Linked DNA regions of Yarrowia lipolytica. The protein of the gene in region 1 interacts with the protein of each later gene in a pairwise test. Links are inferred from orthologs where the notes say so. Each region holds a gene or a part of one and is shown on either strand. Other genes may lie near its edges.

The links. The genes of interacting proteins can lie anywhere in the genome.
Region 2: the proteins of YALI1_E17754g (region 1) and YALI1_D13963g interact in binary tests that used the Saccharomyces cerevisiae proteins (3 or more experiments, as listed by UniProt). The link is inferred for Yarrowia lipolytica from reciprocal best matches to the Saccharomyces cerevisiae genes TRP2 and TRP3.

The regions. Positions count from the first base shown.
Region 1 is NC_090774.1:1,772,293-1,777,523, forward strand, and holds YALI1_E17754g (uncharacterized protein), read right to left. Parts: upstream 3,126-5,231; coding exon 1,602-3,125; downstream 1-1,601. Other genes in the region: YALI1_E17760g (uncharacterized protein), read left to right, coding at 3,757-4,692; YALI1_E17773g (uncharacterized protein), read left to right, coding at 5,003-5,231.
Region 2 is NC_090773.1:1,393,538-1,398,876, forward strand, and holds YALI1_D13963g (uncharacterized protein), read right to left. Parts: upstream 2,805-5,339; coding exon 1,377-2,804; downstream 1-1,376. Other genes in the region: YALI1_D13976g (uncharacterized protein), read right to left, coding at 4,085-4,152, 4,239-4,488; YALI1_D14004g (uncharacterized protein), read right to left, coding at 4,745-5,339.

The DNA of each region.
Region 1 (5,231 bases):
CTCGATTTTCTTCTTTCGCTTGTCCCCAAAAATAGCCTTCCCAAGAATGCCAAAATTAAAACTCACACGTTAGAGAGGTATTGAACAGGGCAATATAAGACATGGAGGAATGTGGTGTACCGCAAACGGCAGCAGGTATTTGCGCGGAGATTCTGGAGATGGCCGTATATTTTAGATGGTTGGAGGATCTGCCGATCACGTGACTCACTCAGTCATTTGTTGACAGAACGACTACTGTGCACATGTACACTCTCGTACAGTATGTCCAGTGCACTCTATCTCAATGCCACAATTGAACGTCGATCTGGCGGGTCTGGCGAGTAATTAACAGGTACGCTACCAGTAAGCGAAAAGCGGAAGCAAGCCTAACGGTACAGTAATGAAGAAAGTGCAACTGGATATACGGTAAACCTCACCTGATCCGGAAACCACACCGATTGGCACCTACGGTGGCCTGGTACCTACTTCAGTGACAGTCAGTTGCAGTTGAGGATGCAGTTGGCCCTGCACTGGGGGGTTCGCTTATTTCTTGGCAAGAATAATTTAAGAAATAATGAGAAGGCTGAGTATTGTCACTGGTGACACCTGAGAGGTTTATTAGTAATTAACAGGGTCACACGAGCTCTTAATTACGAAACCAATTAGTCGCTCACAATATGGCTGTCTCGGAAGGCCTGAAAATTATGAAACCAAGAAAAATCCACCTCCACGGTCCTATCTGACGCATGAGTTGATATCCAATTGTCCAATACCATACACGACTTTGCGGGGCTTTTGGATCTAATCTCCTCCACCACCCACCCTGAAGTGCTCTCTACTATCTAATTACTCAATATGATCGACAAGAGTGGCCCACGTGGAGTGTGCCTGATCTGCAGTTATTGAACCCTGAGACGGTGGGGTCCGGAGCAAAGCAAACTATCCCGCGCAGTGGCGGAGCGTTTACAGTTGGGCTAGAGATACTTTGGTACCGGATCTCGGAGGCCCCCAACTTCCTGCTTCCTATTCCCGCCAGCTTATCGTACCCCACCTCTGCTCAGCCCACCTAGTTCCGATGCAAGGACGACGATCTATGCACCAAAGTTCCATCGGGCTACAAGAACAAGCAAGACAAATTAAAAAAGACAAAGAAACGGGTGGGGTCAACGGTACGGGAGTGGGGAACACAAACGGGTGGGTCTACGTCGGAGCGTTGTGACATCATGCTTCACGCCAAATCCCCTGCAAGACAACAGCCTTCTGTGACAGACATGCGGCGGGATTACTGTAACACTTAGTTGCGGGTACTGTAGGAAAGCCAAGTATCCGAATCCGTACTTGTCGCCTTGGCCATATATCATTATAGTCCAATTCCTATGCACAAAGCTCTCTCTCTGTCTACAATTCACACACAAAATCACAGTATTGTACAGGTATACAACCTTCTTCATTATCTACATATCGTCGTTCGACGGGACTCCTCTCACTCAAGGTGAGGGTCTCACAGTGTGAAACGGATTTGACTAGGTCAAGTACAAGAGTCTGGCGGTGCTGGGCTTTGCATGTCTCTGTCTGTGGCTGTGTCTGTGTGCGCAGTGCAATGAAGTGCATCTTCATCGCCTCTACTCACCCTTCTGCTGTCCAGCCCAGATCTCCTCGGCCTCGACAATACACCGGTTGTTTGCCATCATCTTGTTGATAGTCTCGACATATTCGTCGTACTCGTCAGAATCGAAGACAATGCCTCCTCCGGCCTGCAGGTACGCAACACCGTCCTTGAGAAGCATAGTTCGAAGAGCAATGCAAGTGTCCATGGCCTCTCCGTTGTAGCCGAAAGATCCAACGGCACCGGCGTAGACACCTCGCTTCTCCTTCTCAAGCTCTCCAACCAGCTCCATGGCCTTGACCTTGGGGGCACCAGAAACGGTTCCGGCAGGGAAAATGGATCGGAAGGCGTCGAATCGGGTCTGGTCGGGTCGCAGAACACCAGACACCTGGGAAACGAGATGCTGGACGTGCGAGAAGGTTTCGACACCCAAAAGCCGATCGACGGAAGTGGATCGAGGATCACATACTCGGTTGACATCGTTTCGGGCCAAATCGACCAGCATGACGTGCTCAGCTCGGTCCTTCTCAGAGTTGAGAAGCTCCTGAGCCAGCTGGTTATCCTCGGCAGGAGTAGCTCCCCGCTTAACCGTTCCAGCAATGGGATGAGACACAATTCGGCCGTTCTCAATCTTGACGAGCAGCTCAGGAGAAGCACCAACAAGCTGGAAATCAAGATAGTCAATGTAGAACAGGTAGGGAGAGGGGTTGACGGTTCGCAGGTGTCTGTAGACGTTGAAGGGATGCAGGTCGGTGGGCCGAGCTACTCGCTGGGAGGGCACGGCCTGGATGATGTCTCCCTTCTTGATTCGCTCCTTAAGAGTGGTCACGTGCTGTTCGTAACCCTTCTGGCCAATGTTGGAAGTGAAAGTCTTTCCAAGGGTCACGGGTCCCTGGGGGGGCTGGGGAACCTCAGGGGAAGTCAGCAGGTCTGCGATTCGCTGCACCTCCTTCTTGGCGTCCTCGTAGGCCTTGGTGAGATCGGTGTCGGCCTCAACCTTGACATTGGTGATAACCTGGAGTCGCTGGTAGACGTGGTCAAAGGCCACAATGGTGTCGTAGAGCATGAGGGCACTTTCGGGGACCTCCAGGACGTCCTTGAGATCTCGCTTGGTTCGGGGCTCGAAGTACTTGATGCAGTCGTACGAAATGTATCCGATGGCTCCTCCACAAAGAGTGGGGACGCCGGGGGTCTGGAACTGTCGGTACTGGTCGAGTTCAGACTCCAGCAGGTTGAGCGGATCAACGTCAGGTCCATGGGGAGCACCAGTCTTGATCATCTTCCGGGGATTAGATCCAATGAAAGAGTAACGGGACAGATGCTTACCACCGAGGGCAGACTCGAACAGGAACGAGGGACTTCGGTTGGGGTCATCCAGACGAGCCAACTTGAGGTAGGCAGTATGAGGAGTCAGGGCCTCAGCATCCACATAGGCGAAAACGGGATAGAGGTTGTCGGGAAGAGTCTCCTTGGTGGCGGCGGCTCGGTTGTCGGCCACGATGGTCTGAAGAGCCTCTAGAGTGGGTCTGAGTTGGATCATTGTGGAGTAAGTGAAGCCGTTGAGCTGTCGGTGTTACAACGCACGTTTTACTGGTACCGGATGACTCTATGTCGAGGAAAGTTTCATACACACAAATTTCAAATAGGGTTATGGTATGAATCACTAAGCTACTGGTAAGGGGACTGCGGCTATACACTGTTAGTGGAGAGCTAAGGTAGAGGCGTTAGTGGCGCTAGTGGGGGCTCCGTGGGGGGGACTTTGTTGTGTGTGTGAGCTGTTGGTGAGATTCTCCATGATGTCTACTGCTCTGTCTTTTCATTGCAGATGTGGGGTTATGCAAGCGTGGTCACTGGGTGTACTGAAATTGTGTTGATGTAGCATTGTATTGGGGAATTTGCAATACTAGTAGTATCGTCAGTACAAGTGTGTTATGAACTACTATTGGGTAGTCTGGTAACAGTATGTACTGTTGCCCGAAAAAAAACCCTTGGGTTACCCAGTGGTTGTTCATTGTGGTCATGTAATCGTTATTGGGCTGTATTCACCTCTCGTTCGACCTTGCCACATCAGCTCTTCTCCTTTGTATCTTGTAGATGTCATTTTCTCCTCTAAAAAGACAAAAAGTCCAACTAAAACTCTTGGTTTTCTAGTTGGGACAGCTGCATAAAATATGCACTCTGGTTGTGTCACACCAAACATTTATTTACACCACTTTAATCAACCCATCCACTACTCTGCCATCACCCACCCAACAATGGACGCAGCGTCGGTACTCGACCAATACGTCCAGGACCTGGCGAACCTGCCGTCCGAGGTCGCACACATCCTCGAAGAGGTCCGAGACAAGGATCTCAAGTTCTATGAGACCCGCAAGCGCATCCAACAACGCGACAACCAGATTCACAAATTCATCAGAGCAAATGGCTCCCTGGCAGAAAACCCAAAGGAGCAGGCGGCATACCCCAAAATACGCCAGGACTTCCAGACCGCCATGGAGCTTCAGGACGAGAAATGCACTCTGGCAGCACAGGCGCTGACCCTAGTGGCAAAACACGTCAAGAAACTGAATGACGACATCGACAAGCTGGATGCCGAGGGTCTGTTGGGTGGCGCGCCACCACAGAAACCTATTTCAGCCAACAGATCGCGTGCCACGTCATCAGCCACTCCTGCACCGGAACCCCCATCCCGAAACTACACAAGAGACAGAGCCAACAGTCGAAGAGGCGGTTCTCCAGCGGCCAGTCGGTCTTCTACTCCTGGAACACGACCGCCAAAGAAGCGAGCGACTGACAAGAATAACGAGGCTGCATCTATGAGCAAGGAGTCGTCTGTGGGTGCCTCTGAGCAGCTCCGAAACATGCCTGAGACGGTGGCGGTGGGATCTCTGGATGCTGCTATTCGAGCCGGACCTGGGGAAGATGACGAGGTGCTCTACTGTTTCTGTCAGCAGCCGTCATTCGGAGAAATGGTTGCTTGTGATAACGATGACTGTCAGTACGAATGGTTCCATTACGACTGTGTGGGTCTGGCAGAGCCTCCCCAGGGAGTCTGGTTCTGTCCTTCATGCTCCAAGGGACGAAAGGGTGATAAGAAGAAGCGTTAACAGATACAATTCTGGAGTTTGAAACCAGCTTCCCACTGTTCTTCAACGCCTTCTACTGATCTTCCTGAAGCCGAGCCGCAGGGCGCAATTTCCATGTCACGTGCCCCCAAATCACGTGCCCCCAAAAATCGCGTGCGTCGCAGGCTGTATTCCAGGCGTCATGAACGCTGCGATTGAGCACTGTTTCCGGGGCTTGTTTAGTATAATCATAAAGGGAAGGACATGTTGATCGTTTTTGTATGAGCCCCAACAGCGCCCTTACGATGAGATCCTTCCCAAACTTGTAGTAATATATTATTTATTTGTCTCTATGGAGCGGCAACTGTATCAGCTCTTTTCCTCGCCAAAATACTTTTATCTCGCTGTGGTTTCGATTCTCAAGACATCGTCACCCGCCTCGTCCAAGTGTTATCATGGACGTCTTCGACGATCGCTTAACAGTGGTGTTCGGCTCTCGGCATGTCCGAAGAGGAAAGACTGCCCTGGAAATGCGTACAAGATGCGAGGTGACTCCACAAGAGGAAGTCACAGGGTGGAGG
Region 2 (5,339 bases), on another chromosome or scaffold:
AGTGGAGGTACTTGGGTCTGACTGAGGCCTATGTGTGGATATTTCTTGTAGTGCGAAACAGAAATGCAATTGGCCCTGTCTCTGTGACTTTTGTCCCCTCTTTTCTGGCTCTTTTTGCCGCTGTTCTCCTTGTATTGTGTGAGTCTCTCCTGGCACCAAGTTGCATGTCTCGCTCGTATTTTTCCACAAGCATTCCATTGATGCACGCATCATTCCCGACTCCCCTGCTTGCAACGTGCAAACAGCACATGTCGATTAGCTCAGAGAAAGAGCCCAACTCAGACGCGATGACAGGCACCCAGAATGCTCTCAAGAGCAGCCGTCGCAGACCCCTGAGTCGCCCGAACGGCCCGTTTTCCACACGGTGTACAAGTGCGAGTAGGAATGCTTCCGATGTACGCTGCGGTCGCTGCAGAATGCATTGGAAGCTGTGGAAAACAGGTGAGCTTTGGAGACCGCACAAGTGAAACATTGTCCAGAATTACTGGCCGTTGATGTGCCGACGCCATACCAGTACCGATTTGTATTCGTACTCTTAATAATGGTGATTTACAGTGTCCATTGCAACTGTTGTCGATAACCACCTTGTTTCACGCCTAATATACCCCGTTCCTCGAACAAGCACGAAGATGGCCATAGCCAAAAGAAACGATACTCCTCAAGGTACAACCTCCATCTACCCCTGTAAAGTATCACGGCAACGGAAAAAGAAAAATGGATCAACGTCACTACGCAGCTATCATTCCACAGACACGTGAACACGTCGCTACATGTAGGGACGCAAGTCCACGTTGAACTTGTAGTATCGAATGGAGACAGCGGACAAAATTAGAACAGGCCAGGAACAGACTGGAAATAGAACATGCCAGGGCATCAGGTTCAGACTTGCACTGCCTCTCGGATATGTGTCTTTGCCTTGTACGAGAAATAATAATCATACGGCTCGTCTCAATAATAGACAGGGCCCTCGTCCAGTTAATTATACAGTGTAGGAAAAAATGTGTCACTTTGGCGTGTGAGCTCATATTATTATCTACAGCTGAAATTATGTAGCAGCCACCGTCAGCATAATACACTGTAAGAATGATGGAAAATGCGGAATTTACAAGAAATTTACTCTTGTATCATCTATTGTTGACGTAGGAATGTGCACTGATAAAATATCTCTACTTGTAGTCTTTCAATGTCTCTTTCAATGACATCAAAAGACATGTTATGACATGGTCTTCTGGAAACATCTCATCATCTATACTCTGGCTAAGATTTTTGTGGCGCAACAAGCGCATGATTCTGGTCCAAGGACCGGACTCAGTACTGTCGAACGCGGTTCGATGGGGTCTGTAGAGGTGTACGGAACGAGAGCTCACACTCTCCAACTAACCAATGAGCTCCTTGACAAAAGCCGAAGTGTCCTTGGCTCGCATGAGAGCCTCGCCGACAAGAACAGCCTTGACACCCTCGGAAACGTACTTTTCCACGTCGGCCTTGCACGTGATGCCACTGAGCGCAGCAATCACAATATCCTCCGAGGCTAGGCTCATGACTGAAGAAGTGGTGTTGAGGTCCACGTTGAACGAATGCAGGTCTCGGTTGTTAACACCAATGAGCTGAGCGTTGAGCCTGTTTGCACGCTCCATCTCGGGCAGAGAAGCAACCTCCACCAACGGCTCCATGCCCAGAGACTTGGAGTACTTGTAGAGGTCTGCCAGCAGCTCGTCGTCCAGCATCTTGACAATGAGCAGCACGGTGTCGGCTCCATTGAGTCGGGCCTCAAGAATCTGGTACCGGTCGAAGATGAACTCCTTTCGCAGAATGGCAGGTCGGTTCTCCAGAGAGTCCACGGCCAGACGAACCAGGCGCATGTCTTCCAGCGAGCCCTTGAACCAGTGAGGCTCAGTGAGGACAGAGATGGCAGAAGCGCCAGCGTTGGCGTAGATGAGAGCCTGGGTGGGAGCATGAGCCTGCAGATCGATAGGGCCCTTGGAGGGAGAAGCTCGCTTGATCTCGGCCATCATGGCAGGAGTCTTCTGGAGAAGACGCTGCTTGACATCGATGAGCTTGGGAGCGTAGGGCAGCGACTTCTGCAGATCCTCAAACGACTGGCCGGGGATCTTTTTCTGGGCGTCGACGTCGGCCTTTCGCTGGGCGTAGATTCGCTGCAGAATAGAGGTCTGGGCAGGGGTCTTATCCTCGGAAGACTTCTTATCGGCCCAGGTTCCTCCTCGAAACTTGAGCACGTTGGAGATCATGGTTCGGCCGTCATCTGTCAGAATGCCCTCGGGGTGGAACTGCACTCCCTCAATGACATACTCCTTGTGTCGCACTCCCATGATAACTCCATTGTGGGTCTCAGCAGTGATCTCCAGACACTCGGGCAGAGACTCTCGAGTACCGGCAAGAGAGTGATATCGAGTCACCTCCACATCCTGGGCAATGTTGTCAAACAGGCCCTTGCCGTCATGCTTGACGGGAGAAGACTTACCATGGACAATCTCTCCAGCAAAGCCCACAGTGCCCCCAAAGGCCTCGTACATGCACTGCTGGCCCATACAGACTCCAACAATGGGCTTCTTGCCCTTGAAATAATGAATGGTATCGATAGACACTCCAGCATCGGTCTTGGGGTGTCCTGGGCCCGGGGAAATGAAGATGATGTCGGGGTTCTTAGCCTCGATCTCCTCCACGGTGATCTTGTCGTTTCGAAAAACCTCCACGTCGGCTCCCTCCTGGCACAGGTACTCGTAGATGTTCCAGGTGAAGGAGTCGTAGTTGTCGATCAGAAGAACTTTGGTCTTGGAAGCCATGGTGGTGTAGTTCGGGGGTGGTGACTGAGCCGTCTTCTGGAGAATTTCAAAGTCAAACACTGTGACTCGACTTTAGAGTTTGAAGGTGTGGGTGGTGGTGCTGATACTACTGTACAATCCAAGTAAGAGCAGTGAAAAAGAATGCTTGTAGCTGTTCGGGAGCAGGGAAAAAGGCTGCTAGGGGTTATTTGGGGCTGTATTTTTCAGCTCACCGCTCTATTTATATCTTATCGTGTCTGCACCATCCATCCCATTCACCTCTTGTAACACCACGCATGCTACAACGGCGAACTTCTTCATGAGTGCATATGATGGAGTTACGGTTATTGGTTGGAGGAGATTTGAGAAGAGTATAGAAGGATATTGGCGAGAGGCACAGGTGTTGCTTAGTAATGAAATCCAGCATTAGTCCTACCAACACGTGAGACGCAAGTCTGGTAGTTGTACTTGGTTCACACCAACCATCATCTCAGGAGTCCGTTGTATCGTACAACTTCTCCAGTAAATTCAATCTCCCAACACCCAAAGTCGAACTCTTATCTTCACAGCACCCTCACAGAACAGGACATCTTGGAAGAGCCTTGAACTCCACCATACCCCATACAGCACCATGTCATCACACATCTGCACAATCACGGCTGAAAATATCGTTTCGCAACCGGAGACGGACGAAGCTGTGTCCCAGGGCTCCCGTCTGGCTGGCTCCTTCGCCACATCTGACCGACTCGCCCGCAACCTCAAGATCGGCCATGTCAACCGAATCATCGCTTACTGTGGGACCAGCGACGATAAGACCAAGATTGTGGCCCAGTGCGGCGCCCAGAAGGACGACGAGGCGCTTATTTCGACTGTCATTGGGGATAGCCTCGTCGAAACTCTCGCCAAGCTCGACAATGTCAACGATGCCGCCAATGAGTTGCTCAAGTGACGGGAGTGAATGGGCGATGCTCGTGAGCGGGCATCAACCAACAATGGGATGAGGATCAGTGCTGGCTGCGGTTGAGTCGGTTCTTGTGGCCTTATTTGCATGCCCTAAGATGACCATACTACGGTCGAATCCACAAGAACCCACGACAAACGGTGTCCGTGTTCGTGCTTTTTCGCCTCCTCCAAATCAAACAATATTTATTAATATATACTTCCACCAAACACCTGGCCTGGCGCCAACCCCTTGTCCTACTACTTGTAGCATGTCCTCTATTCTGTGGACGTCGTAAAGCGAATATCCTCCACAGGTTTTTCGCCACCTCCAGTAAGATAACATAGCCCTTTTCATGCATCTATGCCTCACCGAAAACAGAGGGAAACTTCTGGCAGTATCCAACCAGCTTTTTCACCTGCTCGGGGTCTGTAGTTAGTATCTGTTAGTGGCAAGATTGGTGTCTCCGTTACTGCGTCATTCCGTTAGTCCGTCGTTCCGTCACTCCTACTCACTGATGTTCTCTCCGAAATCGGTGGCGGTCAGACCAACAATCTGATCGCTTCCCTCCACCTTGCCAACAACCTCGTAGAAGTGGCCAACCACGTAATCGGAGCCGTCAGACTTGACCTTGACGGGCCCGTTGGCATCCAGGTTGACGATCTCGCCGTCCTGAGACTCGACCTTGCCGATGATTCGCACCGTCTTTCCATAGAAGTCGCCGAGAAGACCGCTGTTGATTCGTGGGGTTGTGGGGAAACTCATGGCTGTGTTTTTGAAATGTGTGATGTTGATGAAAGAAACACTGGCCTCAGGTAATTAACACCCAACCTTGCATGCGACGTGACGCGTAACGTGAGTTACCCTGAAGTGAGCATAGAGGTGAGAATGATTAATATGGGGGATTTAGTAGAAAAATCACATACTTGTGGTATATTTCCTCTGGTTGCTACAATTCAAACATCCTACATGTGTCGCTTCATTCAGTCGTATATTCATTCATCTTTCTATGTCAGCTATATTACTTGGTGAGATTAACCATGACCTTCTTGAGCCGAAGCTCATCATAGGGACGAGCCACCAGAGAAGCATAGTTGAACAGATCATAACAGCTGGCAACCTCCTCGCTCTTGAGAGAAAACAGCGTGCCCGCAGCCACGGCCAGTCGGAAGACGGCCTCGTTGCCAGTCACCTTCTCCCACACCTCACTGATGCTCTGCAGAAGACCAAAGGCAGCCTCCACGTTGCCACCGTCGTATGCGTTCACAGCGAGATCCAGCAGCAGTGTGGCAACAGCAGTCTCATATTGGCCAAACAGCTTTTCCGACTTGTAGTCAGCCAGAGTCCCTTTAACGGTATCAATGACCGACTCAACGTCGGGGAATGTATTTTTGGCAGCCACGCTGTTGACCACAAACCGAACCCCCATGAGTTTGTGGGCCAGCTTGGGTGATGCAACAGCGCCCTCAACGGCTGTGACAATCTCAGGCTTTGGAGCGCCCAGCTTCTCAGCCATGAGGCGCAGAATATCCAGTCCCAAAAGAGGCTCAGACCAGCTAGAAACAATCTTGAGCACCACTGAAAGCAGGGAGGAGCCCAGTTCGTTCTTGGAAAGC